Arabidopsis thaliana: one gene and its partner. The protein of the gene in region 1 binds, or shares a complex with, the protein of each later gene. Each region holds a gene or a part of one and is shown in the gene's direction. Other genes may lie near its edges.

Evidence for each region.
Region 2: the proteins of AT3G19020 (region 1) and RALFL4 are in contact, whole or in part, in a crystal structure (PDB 6QWN), measured with the Arabidopsis thaliana proteins. Residues at the interface, in NP_188532.2 of Arabidopsis thaliana: Phe109 (codon at 2,572), Cys110 (codon at 2,575), Ala111 (codon at 2,578), Pro112 (codon at 2,581), Leu114 (codon at 2,587), Val122 (codon at 2,611), Ala123 (codon at 2,614), Gly124 (codon at 2,617), Asp126 (codon at 2,623), Asn128 (codon at 2,629), His129 (codon at 2,632), Asp145 (codon at 2,680), Val146 (codon at 2,683), Ala147 (codon at 2,686), Leu148 (codon at 2,689), His150 (codon at 2,695), Asn152 (codon at 2,701), Ser153 (codon at 2,704), Leu169 (codon at 2,752), Tyr171 (codon at 2,758), Glu172 (codon at 2,761), Asp174 (codon at 2,767), Asn177 (codon at 2,776), Lys195 (codon at 2,830), Phe196 (codon at 2,833), Arg200 (codon at 2,845), Tyr201 (codon at 2,848), Asp218 (codon at 2,899), Ala219 (codon at 2,902), Phe221 (codon at 2,908); in NP_174148.1 of Arabidopsis thaliana: Tyr63 (codon at 2,158), Ile64 (codon at 2,161), Gly65 (codon at 2,164), Tyr66 (codon at 2,167), Ala68 (codon at 2,173), Leu69 (codon at 2,176), Lys70 (codon at 2,179), Lys71 (codon at 2,182), Asn72 (codon at 2,185), Asn73 (codon at 2,188), Val74 (codon at 2,191), Cys76 (codon at 2,197), Arg79 (codon at 2,206), Gly80 (codon at 2,209), Arg81 (codon at 2,212), Ser82 (codon at 2,215), Tyr83 (codon at 2,218), Tyr84 (codon at 2,221), Asn92 (codon at 2,245), Asn93 (codon at 2,248), Pro94 (codon at 2,251), Tyr95 (codon at 2,254), Arg97 (codon at 2,260), Ser100 (codon at 2,269), Ala101 (codon at 2,272), Ile102 (codon at 2,275), Thr103 (codon at 2,278).

What each region holds. Positions count from the first base shown.
Region 1 is NC_003074.8:6,558,394-6,564,291, reverse strand, and holds AT3G19020 (Leucine-rich repeat (LRR) family protein), read left to right. Parts: upstream 1-1,914; 5' UTR 1,915-2,247; coding exon 2,248-5,118; 3' UTR 5,119-5,328; downstream 5,329-5,898. Other genes in the region: AT3G19030 (transcription initiation factor TFIID subunit 1b-like protein), read left to right, coding at 1-175. UniProt on the Arabidopsis thaliana protein: Modulates cell morphogenesis by regulating cell wall formation and assembly, and/or growth polarization.
Region 2 is NC_003070.9:9,881,194-9,884,821, forward strand, and holds RALFL4 (ralf-like 4), read left to right. Parts: upstream 1-1,757; 5' UTR 1,758-1,971; coding exon 1,972-2,304; 3' UTR 2,305-2,996; downstream 2,997-3,628. UniProt on the Arabidopsis thaliana protein: Cell signaling peptide that may regulate plant stress, growth, and development.

The sequences.
Region 1 (5,898 bases):
TCAAAAGCTAGAGATTTGCATCGAATTGGTGAAAATTGCTGTTGTTTTCGTCACCACCGTGGCTGAATCAGTAGAAGAAGCTTTCCGTAAGCCTCCACCGTCTCTTCCAGCAGTTCACGGTGGTCGCCGGAATAATTACGCCGCCGTTCCCATTCCTCTTGTTGGATTCATGTGATGAGCTTCTTAGTTTTTTATTTTTTTTTGGTTTTGGCCTCATTAAAGTTAGTAGTTCCCGTGCCTTGTGGCGTTTTGGATATTGTTTATTTGTGTATAAAGTATAACCAAAACATAATGAAGAGTTTACAGATGAATCAAAACCGTGGACGTTTATATAATTCTTGTGTATTAACTGCTTTTAATTTTCTTTAAGATCTATTGAACAAATTAATCACAGATTTGAACGGTTTGCAACTTCAAAACATGTCCATTCTTTGCAAGGTACGTAAGATTGGAAAACATAATCAAAGTTATAGACGATTTTAGCAAAAAAGTTATAGACGAAAAGAAATAAGCACTTTTTATGGAGAAACAATTATACTCATAAATCATCTTGAGGTCATGAGGTGTGAAGTAAGTTAATTGGTTTCTTAAAAAAATATATATATATGTGTTAAACTCTTAGAACTGGATTTGATGTTCTTGAAACGAATTCAGGTCTCAGATGAAAAAAAAACAAAAAAATCATCGAATCTAAACTGGAATCGCTTTCATTTAAATCTTCTCAGGGTCCATAACCTCATGCTAATTAAAGTGGTCAACTAAGTTTTGTAGTTTGATTAGTTTTGTGAAACAATCTACTAGGATTAGCTGAAGTTGAAAAGTCAAACATATGGCAAAGTAATAGACGTATAAAAAGTGTGGCTCGTGAAACATATGAATGGAATTGATCAATGATCAACCATATAAAAAAAAACTTGGAAAACAGCTTAGGCCTTACAAACCATGTTTTCTTTCGTACATTCTTATATAACAAAATGTTGACTTTTTTATTGTGTCACTAACAAAATGTTGAAAATCAATATTTTTCAAGCAAACTTCTTAGCCAAAGAAAAAATACAGGCACCAAGATCTAACGGCCTTGAAATCGTGACCATATGATCAGAATTCTGGATATGCTCCACGTGGTTAGGAGGGTTGTTCTTGATCATCCAGTGCTGAAACTCTTTCACCAATAACGAAAATAGCCATATGAACCTTTTTGTAGAACAACTCCATGGCCTTAGGAATAGCAAGCCCCACTCAAACTATGTGCCAGAAGAATCACCTTCTCATCCTCACCTAGACTCTCCATTAGGCCCATCAAGGGCCCAATAGACTCCGCAACCAACCGTAGAGTCTCAGGCCGTTATTGATCGATTCTGGATGCCGCTAAGTTGACCGCAGTTACGTTATGGCCTTGAGATTTCAAGAATGGTATAGTTTATACCAAAAACCAAGCTCCATGAACCATCACAAAATGGGCCCGGCCATGTTGCGGGTTGTGGCGTGGCGGAGATAGGACGGTAGTATCGGCTGATCAATATAACAAGAATTGAGGTTAAGTAACTATTTGTTTTGCTCACCATTTTTTCTTTTCACTTTATTGCGAGCTTGTGATGAACGAATGTTCAAAACAATTATATAGTAGAAACTAAATAACGAGGTGTTGACATATTGAACAGTTAATATCACAAAAACATTATTTGATCATTCTTAAAAGTGATTATAAAAACAGATATACTAGTTGGAATCATTTTCTTAATTTAATCCTTTGAAAATTTTCTTCAAATACTATACTACTAAGAAAGTCTTTTTTCTTAACAAAAATTAAAATTTTCAACAATAAATATAGCCTACAGTATCAGCAATTTTACAAGAAAACGTTTTAATTTGTTTCACTGTTTTCCCAAAGAGTTCAAAACGCAAACGTCAAATAAAATTTGAAATATTCACAAATCACAACACTAAGCAAAAGAGTTTTTACTTTTTTTTTCCAGACTGTAAAAAATATTGGTCGTCCAAATTTCAACAATGGTAAAACTAAACTAAACTTGTAAAGACGTTGTCAACGACCTCTAATTCTAAATTAGCTACAATAGTTTGCTATTTTCGTACCCTTTAAACGTTAGTCTATATAAATTTTGTTATACCAAAAATAGCAAAACAATCCAATGGTTTCTGTTTGCCTTCGTTTCATTATAGGCTTCCTCTCCACAACATTCATCTATTAAGCAAGCCATAGAGCCATTTCCAAGTTTTTTCATCACCATGACCCGAAGAACAATGGAGAAGCCTTTTGGCTGCTTCCTTCTCCTCTTTTGTTTCACCATCTCCATTTTTTTCTATTCCGCAGCGGCTCTCACCGATGAGGAAGCTTCTTTTCTTACAAGACGCCAACTTTTGGCATTATCAGAAAACGGAGATCTTCCCGACGACATCGAGTACGAAGTCGATTTAGACCTCAAATTTGCTAATAACAGACTTAAAAGGGCTTACATTGCCCTTCAAGCTTGGAAAAAGGCATTCTACTCTGATCCGTTCAACACTGCGGCTAATTGGGTTGGTCCAGACGTGTGTTCTTACAAAGGAGTTTTCTGTGCACCAGCACTTGACGACCCAAGCGTATTGGTTGTGGCGGGGATTGACCTTAACCATGCGGATATAGCCGGATACTTGCCGCCTGAGCTAGGTTTATTGACCGATGTCGCCTTGTTTCACGTTAATTCCAACAGGTTTTGCGGAGTTATTCCGAAAAGTCTTTCGAAGCTAACGTTAATGTATGAATTCGACGTCAGCAATAACCGTTTCGTTGGTCCGTTTCCGACAGTTGCTCTTTCTTGGCCGTCTTTGAAATTCCTTGACATAAGATACAATGATTTTGAAGGGAAACTACCACCAGAGATCTTTGATAAAGATCTCGACGCCATCTTCTTGAACAACAATAGATTTGAGTCGACCATCCCCGAGACAATTGGTAAATCAACAGCTTCCGTTGTAACCTTCGCACACAATAAATTTAGCGGTTGCATCCCAAAAACCATTGGCCAGATGAAGAACCTCAACGAGATTGTGTTTATTGGGAACAACCTAAGTGGTTGCTTACCGAACGAAATCGGTTCGTTGAACAATGTGACTGTGTTTGATGCTAGCAGCAATGGGTTCGTCGGAAGTTTGCCATCGACCTTGTCGGGCTTAGCCAACGTGGAACAAATGGATTTCTCGTACAATAAGTTCACCGGATTTGTCACAGACAATATCTGCAAGTTGCCCAAATTGTCAAACTTCACATTTTCTTACAATTTCTTCAATGGAGAAGCTCAAAGTTGTGTGCCTGGATCGAGCCAAGAGAAACAGTTTGATGACACGAGCAATTGCTTACAGAACAGACCAAACCAGAAGTCGGCTAAAGAATGTTTGCCGGTGGTTAGCCGTCCTGTGGATTGCAGTAAAGACAAGTGTGCCGGTGGAGGTGGCGGTGGTTCAAACCCATCACCAAAACCAACACCAACACCAAAGGCACCGGAGCCTAAGAAAGAAATAAACCCACCAAACTTAGAAGAGCCATCTAAGCCAAAACCAGAAGAATCTCCCAAACCACAACAGCCTAGTCCAAAGCCTGAGACACCATCACATGAGCCTTCTAACCCAAAGGAACCTAAGCCAGAGTCACCAAAACAGGAATCTCCAAAAACGGAACAGCCAAAACCTAAGCCTGAGTCACCAAAACAAGAGTCGCCTAAGCAAGAGGCACCAAAACCAGAACAGCCAAAACCTAAGCCTGAGTCACCAAAACAAGAGTCGTCTAAGCAAGAGCCACCAAAACCAGAAGAATCTCCTAAACCGGAACCTCCAAAACCAGAGGAGTCACCTAAGCCTCAACCACCAAAGCAAGAGACACCAAAACCAGAGGAGTCACCTAAGCCTCAACCACCAAAGCAAGAGACACCAAAACCAGAGGAGTCACCTAAGCCTCAACCACCAAAGCAAGAGACCCCAAAACCAGAGGAGTCACCTAAGCCTCAACCACCAAAGCAAGAACAACCACCAAAGACAGAGGCACCAAAAATGGGGTCGCCTCCATTGGAATCACCGGTACCAAATGATCCTTACGATGCATCTCCGATTAAAAAACGTCGTCCTCAACCACCATCACCCTCGACAGAAGAGACAAAGACAACGTCGCCACAATCTCCTCCAGTACACTCTCCACCACCACCACCACCGGTTCATTCCCCACCGCCGCCTGTATTTTCACCTCCTCCTCCGATGCATTCTCCTCCACCACCGGTTTACTCACCACCACCTCCAGTACACTCTCCTCCACCACCACCAGTCCACTCTCCTCCACCACCAGTACATTCACCACCACCACCAGTCCATTCTCCTCCTCCACCGGTCCATTCACCACCACCACCAGTCCACTCTCCTCCTCCACCAGTCCACTCTCCTCCTCCACCGGTCCAGTCACCTCCACCACCACCAGTTTTCTCTCCACCACCGCCTGCACCAATCTACTCACCTCCTCCTCCACCAGTCCACTCCCCGCCTCCACCGGTCCACTCTCCACCACCGCCACCAGTCCACTCACCACCTCCTCCTGTTCACTCACCGCCTCCTCCAGTTCACTCCCCGCCGCCTCCAGTCCATTCTCCACCACCACCAGTCCACTCTCCACCACCTCCGTCACCTATCTACTCTCCTCCTCCTCCAGTTTTCTCACCGCCACCGAAACCTGTAACGCCTCTACCACCAGCAACATCGCCAATGGCAAACGCTCCAACACCTTCATCATCAGAATCAGGAGAAATCTCAACACCGGTTCAAGCTCCGACCCCAGACTCTGAGGACATCGAAGCACCATCAGATTCAAATCATTCACCAGTGTTCAAATCAAGTCCAGCTCCATCACCAGATTCCGAGCCAGAAGTTGAAGCACCAGTACCATCAAGCGAACCAGAAGTTGAAGCACCAAAACAATCAGAAGCCACCCCTTCGTCATCACCGCCATCTTCAAATCCATCACCAGATGTAACTGCACCACCATCGGAAGACAACGACGACGGCGATAATTTCATCCTCCCACCAAACATTGGACACCAATATGCATCGCCACCACCACCGATGTTCCCAGGCTACTGAACCATACATTTTTAATATTTTACATTTTGGTCCAACATTTTTCCGGTTAACGCAATTTGTAACAAACAAAAAAAAAGATACATTTATAATTTGACCATTTGTAATCTGTAAGTAGATGATTTTTAGAAGTGAATATTTTCAAAATTAACCATTAACATATCTGTAATTCTAAGTTTTATACTTTTATAGTGTAAATTCATCACATTCTTTGTGTCTACTTCTCTCAAAAATTGTCTTTTACAAAAATAAAAAAAAAATTGTTCAATGTTCAAAGTATAAATATCCATTCATATTTTCGCACTGTTTTTAATATCAACAGAAATTTTCAACTTTATTTTGACATCTTAGAAAAATCCTTAATTGAGAATTGAAATATTTTAGTTTATTTAGTGGTCAACGTCAACGTGACTTAGATCGTTGATTTATTTTTCGTTTTCCTTAAGCAAAAACCTATACTTTTATTTCTGGTCTTTATTGGCAACTATCACATTTTCAACTTTCAATATTTCGACTCATCAATCACCATCTTCGAATAGATATTTTCTTTGCCCGATGGGCTGATCGGAACAATCCTCTGAAAAAGGTACCAAAATGCTACTATGTAGACTAACATCAATACTTAGATGTTGGACTACTTTAACCTAAGCTTAAAATATTTTCCGACTAGTTAACCAAATCGTTTGTTCATATCATGGTCAAGTAACCAAATCGTTTGTTAATACTTAATATCATGGTCAAATAGGTTAATATCCAAAACGATTCCTTAGTTTGGAATAGAAG
Region 2 (3,628 bases), on another chromosome or scaffold:
TTAAATGAGATTATAAATGGTTTGACTGTTTTTTTTATAAAGATGATGTACTTATAATTTTAAAATTAACTGGTAGTAAATATATTGATATGTATGTATCATTTATATATTGGTTCATATCCCATTTGAATTCAAAATAGTGAAATTATTAACATTTTCCATGGTTTTTTCGGTGAATTATATTGTCTAGTCTATTTCGAATTGAATTTAATCTTAAATCCGCATCATTCTCTATTTTGGATCAATAATCTGATTTTATACTATGTGAACCAATTGACAATCAGTATATATGTTACCTCGCTTGACACATAACTAAATGAGATTAAAAATGTGGTCCCTTTTTTGTCAAAATTTAAAAATGTGGTCCTAAGTTTATATATAAATATAGTGTTATCGAATATGAATCACATATAAGTATATTTTGAAGAAAAAACAAAAAAAAACAATGTTTAAATTACACCAGTTAGTATGACTTTTATTAAAAATTGAAAGTACACTGTTTAATTTACATTGAAAGAAACATATGTTTATTAATATCTTGCAGAATGTTTTCAACTATATGATTGAATATTGATTAATAACTGCCAAGTAATACTCTATCATATCCTCGTAATGGGTGTAAATTAACATATCAATATACAAAGACTTTTTTACAACTTACAAAAACCATTTACATATCAATAACCAAAGATTTGTAAACAAAAAAAAAAAGATTTGTAAAAGGCCACGCCAAAAGAAAAAAAAAGTTATTGCAAAGGGTCAACACTAAATTACGTTGGGCCAGAAATTTTCATTCGTTATGCCTTAGAAGTAGCTCCTAAATTAGGTTAGTACACATATTGAGTGTTTTGTTGAGTTTTTTAAGCTAAGAGTCAGACATTGGAGCTCATGCAAAGATTTCCACATAAACGTGTGAAATTGTTGTTTTTATTTCTTTGGTGAATGTTCGTTTTCTTATCCGGATGTTGTTTATTTTGTCCACTCAAATTAAACATTTGATGAGTTTGGATATAATATCAATAGCATCCAAAAATAATGAGATTTTAAAAGAAGCCATCATCTTCTGCATATTTCTTCTGAAAACTCTCTAGTCACCTCCATACGTAAAACAGATAAAAATCTAAAAGAGTAAAACGAGAGGTAACTGGTGATGAGAACATAGTCTATCGTCCTCGAGGCCTATCATGAATATATTTGTAAATATATCTTGAAACACCACACCTAATCTTTATACTGTGGTTAACGTGGGATGTGCTAATGTAGTTTATGTCACTGTGTTGTAATACTACTTCACCGGCGCCATCTTTAACTATTTTCTTTGTTTTAAATTAAATGTTGTATTAACTTTCTTTTTTTCTAATATTGTTTTGTGATTTAATGAAATCTCTCATTTTCCCCTAATAAAATAGTACTAACAAACAAAAAATACAGTAACTATAATAGTATTACAAAATTCAGTCTAATTTTTTAGGATGTAATAAAACATTTTCAGCATGAAATGTGTAAGGTTGGATCATGCTGTTATACTACTCACTCCTAAGTTCTTTTGAAATTGGTTACAAAACTGATAATAGACTTTTACATGCTAAAATTGAGCATTTTAATATTTTTCAGAAGAAAAAAATAATAAGTTAGCCGATCAAAAAGCAGAGCCAGAAATAACTTGTAACAAATTTAGATCTAACCACCAAGCGGAAGAAATGGAGAAAATAGACCTAAAAAAGAGGTTAAAACCCCAATTTCAAAGTAACAGAATTAACGACCACAAAATAATAACAAGCAAAAAATCGCAACTGTCTTAAGCCTTTTTTTAATCCAACAAAACCAATCTCTCATTTGTTCTTCTGCATAATCTCTCACACACTTCTATTTCTCCCTCTCCTTGTCACAAGGAAAGGGCGTAGAAGAACCAAAACCTAAACAAAAGAGCAATAATAACTCATTAAAAAACCAAAACCAAAAAAAAACAAAATGGGTGTCAAAATGTTATTAATCTTTGGTCTCTTGATCTTAGCTATGGTAGCTAAATCCGTCAATGCAACCTACCCTTTAACCAAATCTTGCATCAACGGGCAAGGTTGCATCGGGGAAGACGATGAGCTCGAATCTCTAATGGATTCAGAGACAAACCGTCGTCAACTCGCAAGAGGACGTCGTTACATTGGCTACGATGCTCTCAAAAAGAACAATGTGCCTTGCAGTAGACGTGGCCGATCCTACTACGATTGCAAGAAGAGAAGAAGGAATAATCCTTACAGGCGTGGATGCAGTGCCATCACGCATTGCTATAGGTACGCTCGCTAAATGATAGAGAGGAAGAGATTTGATTCAACAACGTACGTTCGTATCTTCATTCTTCTTTCTTGATCGTTAATATTAATTGCCTCTCCTTACTTCCATCTTTTTTTTTTTTCATTCTTTCTTAACGTATCCTATGTTATACGTATGATCTATATATTCTTTTTTGTTCTTTATATAATCATCATGATGCATATAAGCTTTTGATTCATTGGTATATCACTTACTTTTCCTTTGTTGTTGTCCTTTTTTATTTCGTTTCGTTCATATAATTAAGTTCCGTTTTGTCTATTATATACATCATGATGTTTTAGTATTTTACAATTAAGCATTAATTTGTTTTAAGACGAGGGATCAAATGAGACCTATTTCTTCTTTTATATCTTCTTTTGTATTTTATCTCGAAACAAACGTTGCAGATTAAGTTGAGATTGTTAATGATGGATCCAACCCGATCGGAATAAGAAATCGAAAATATGTTAATGAAAGAAAGTCCCACATCGGAAGTTGGAGGAATTATGAAGTGATATATAAAGGGTTAGGGTCACTCCACCTATTGCCAATTGGTTTTAGGTTGGAAGCCGATATTTAAACCCAATTCTATCAAAATAATTTCTTATTTTATCAACAAAATGCCGCACTGTACCTTGGATTAAATGAGAAATAATTTGAGGTCTCTTGCTTAAATTTCCAAGTCGAGAGGAAGGTTTTGGGGTGTATCTACATGAAACTATGACTTAGATCAATCATATGATCACATGATTGATGTTTCACATCACAATGTTTTCAAGCCAGTACAGAATATTTTATTAGAGATAGATCAATTCTACTCCGTCCGTTATTTCTACAGTTACATATCAGAACACGAGTTTTTGACGGAATGACGTGTAATGAAACATGTGAACTAAACCAAAAAGTATAATATAATATTGAAATACTGAAAACTAAAAGTGAAACTTGATTTTGGATTGGAAAAGCCCAAGTCCGAGCCCAAATCACCCGCACCTTCATGGTTAGGAAAAGTGTTTTGGAGTTCAGTATAAGATCTCAAATCATCCTTAATTAAACTTCTTAGTTATAACTAAATAAATCGAGGAGTTTCATAACTAAGAATGTCCATGGATGATAATTTGGAACTGAAATGGGTGACAACATAATTTGGTTGGCTGGCATTAATAGTCACTTCTAGTTTAGTACTTCGACACTAAACTAACTTATAGAGTGGAGAATATTTATGCGGTCGCATTCAAAAGTCAAAAGAGCTTCAAGTTCATGGGGCAATAAAGAGAGCCCTAAGAAAACGTCTAATGTTCTTCACTGAGGCCCATCC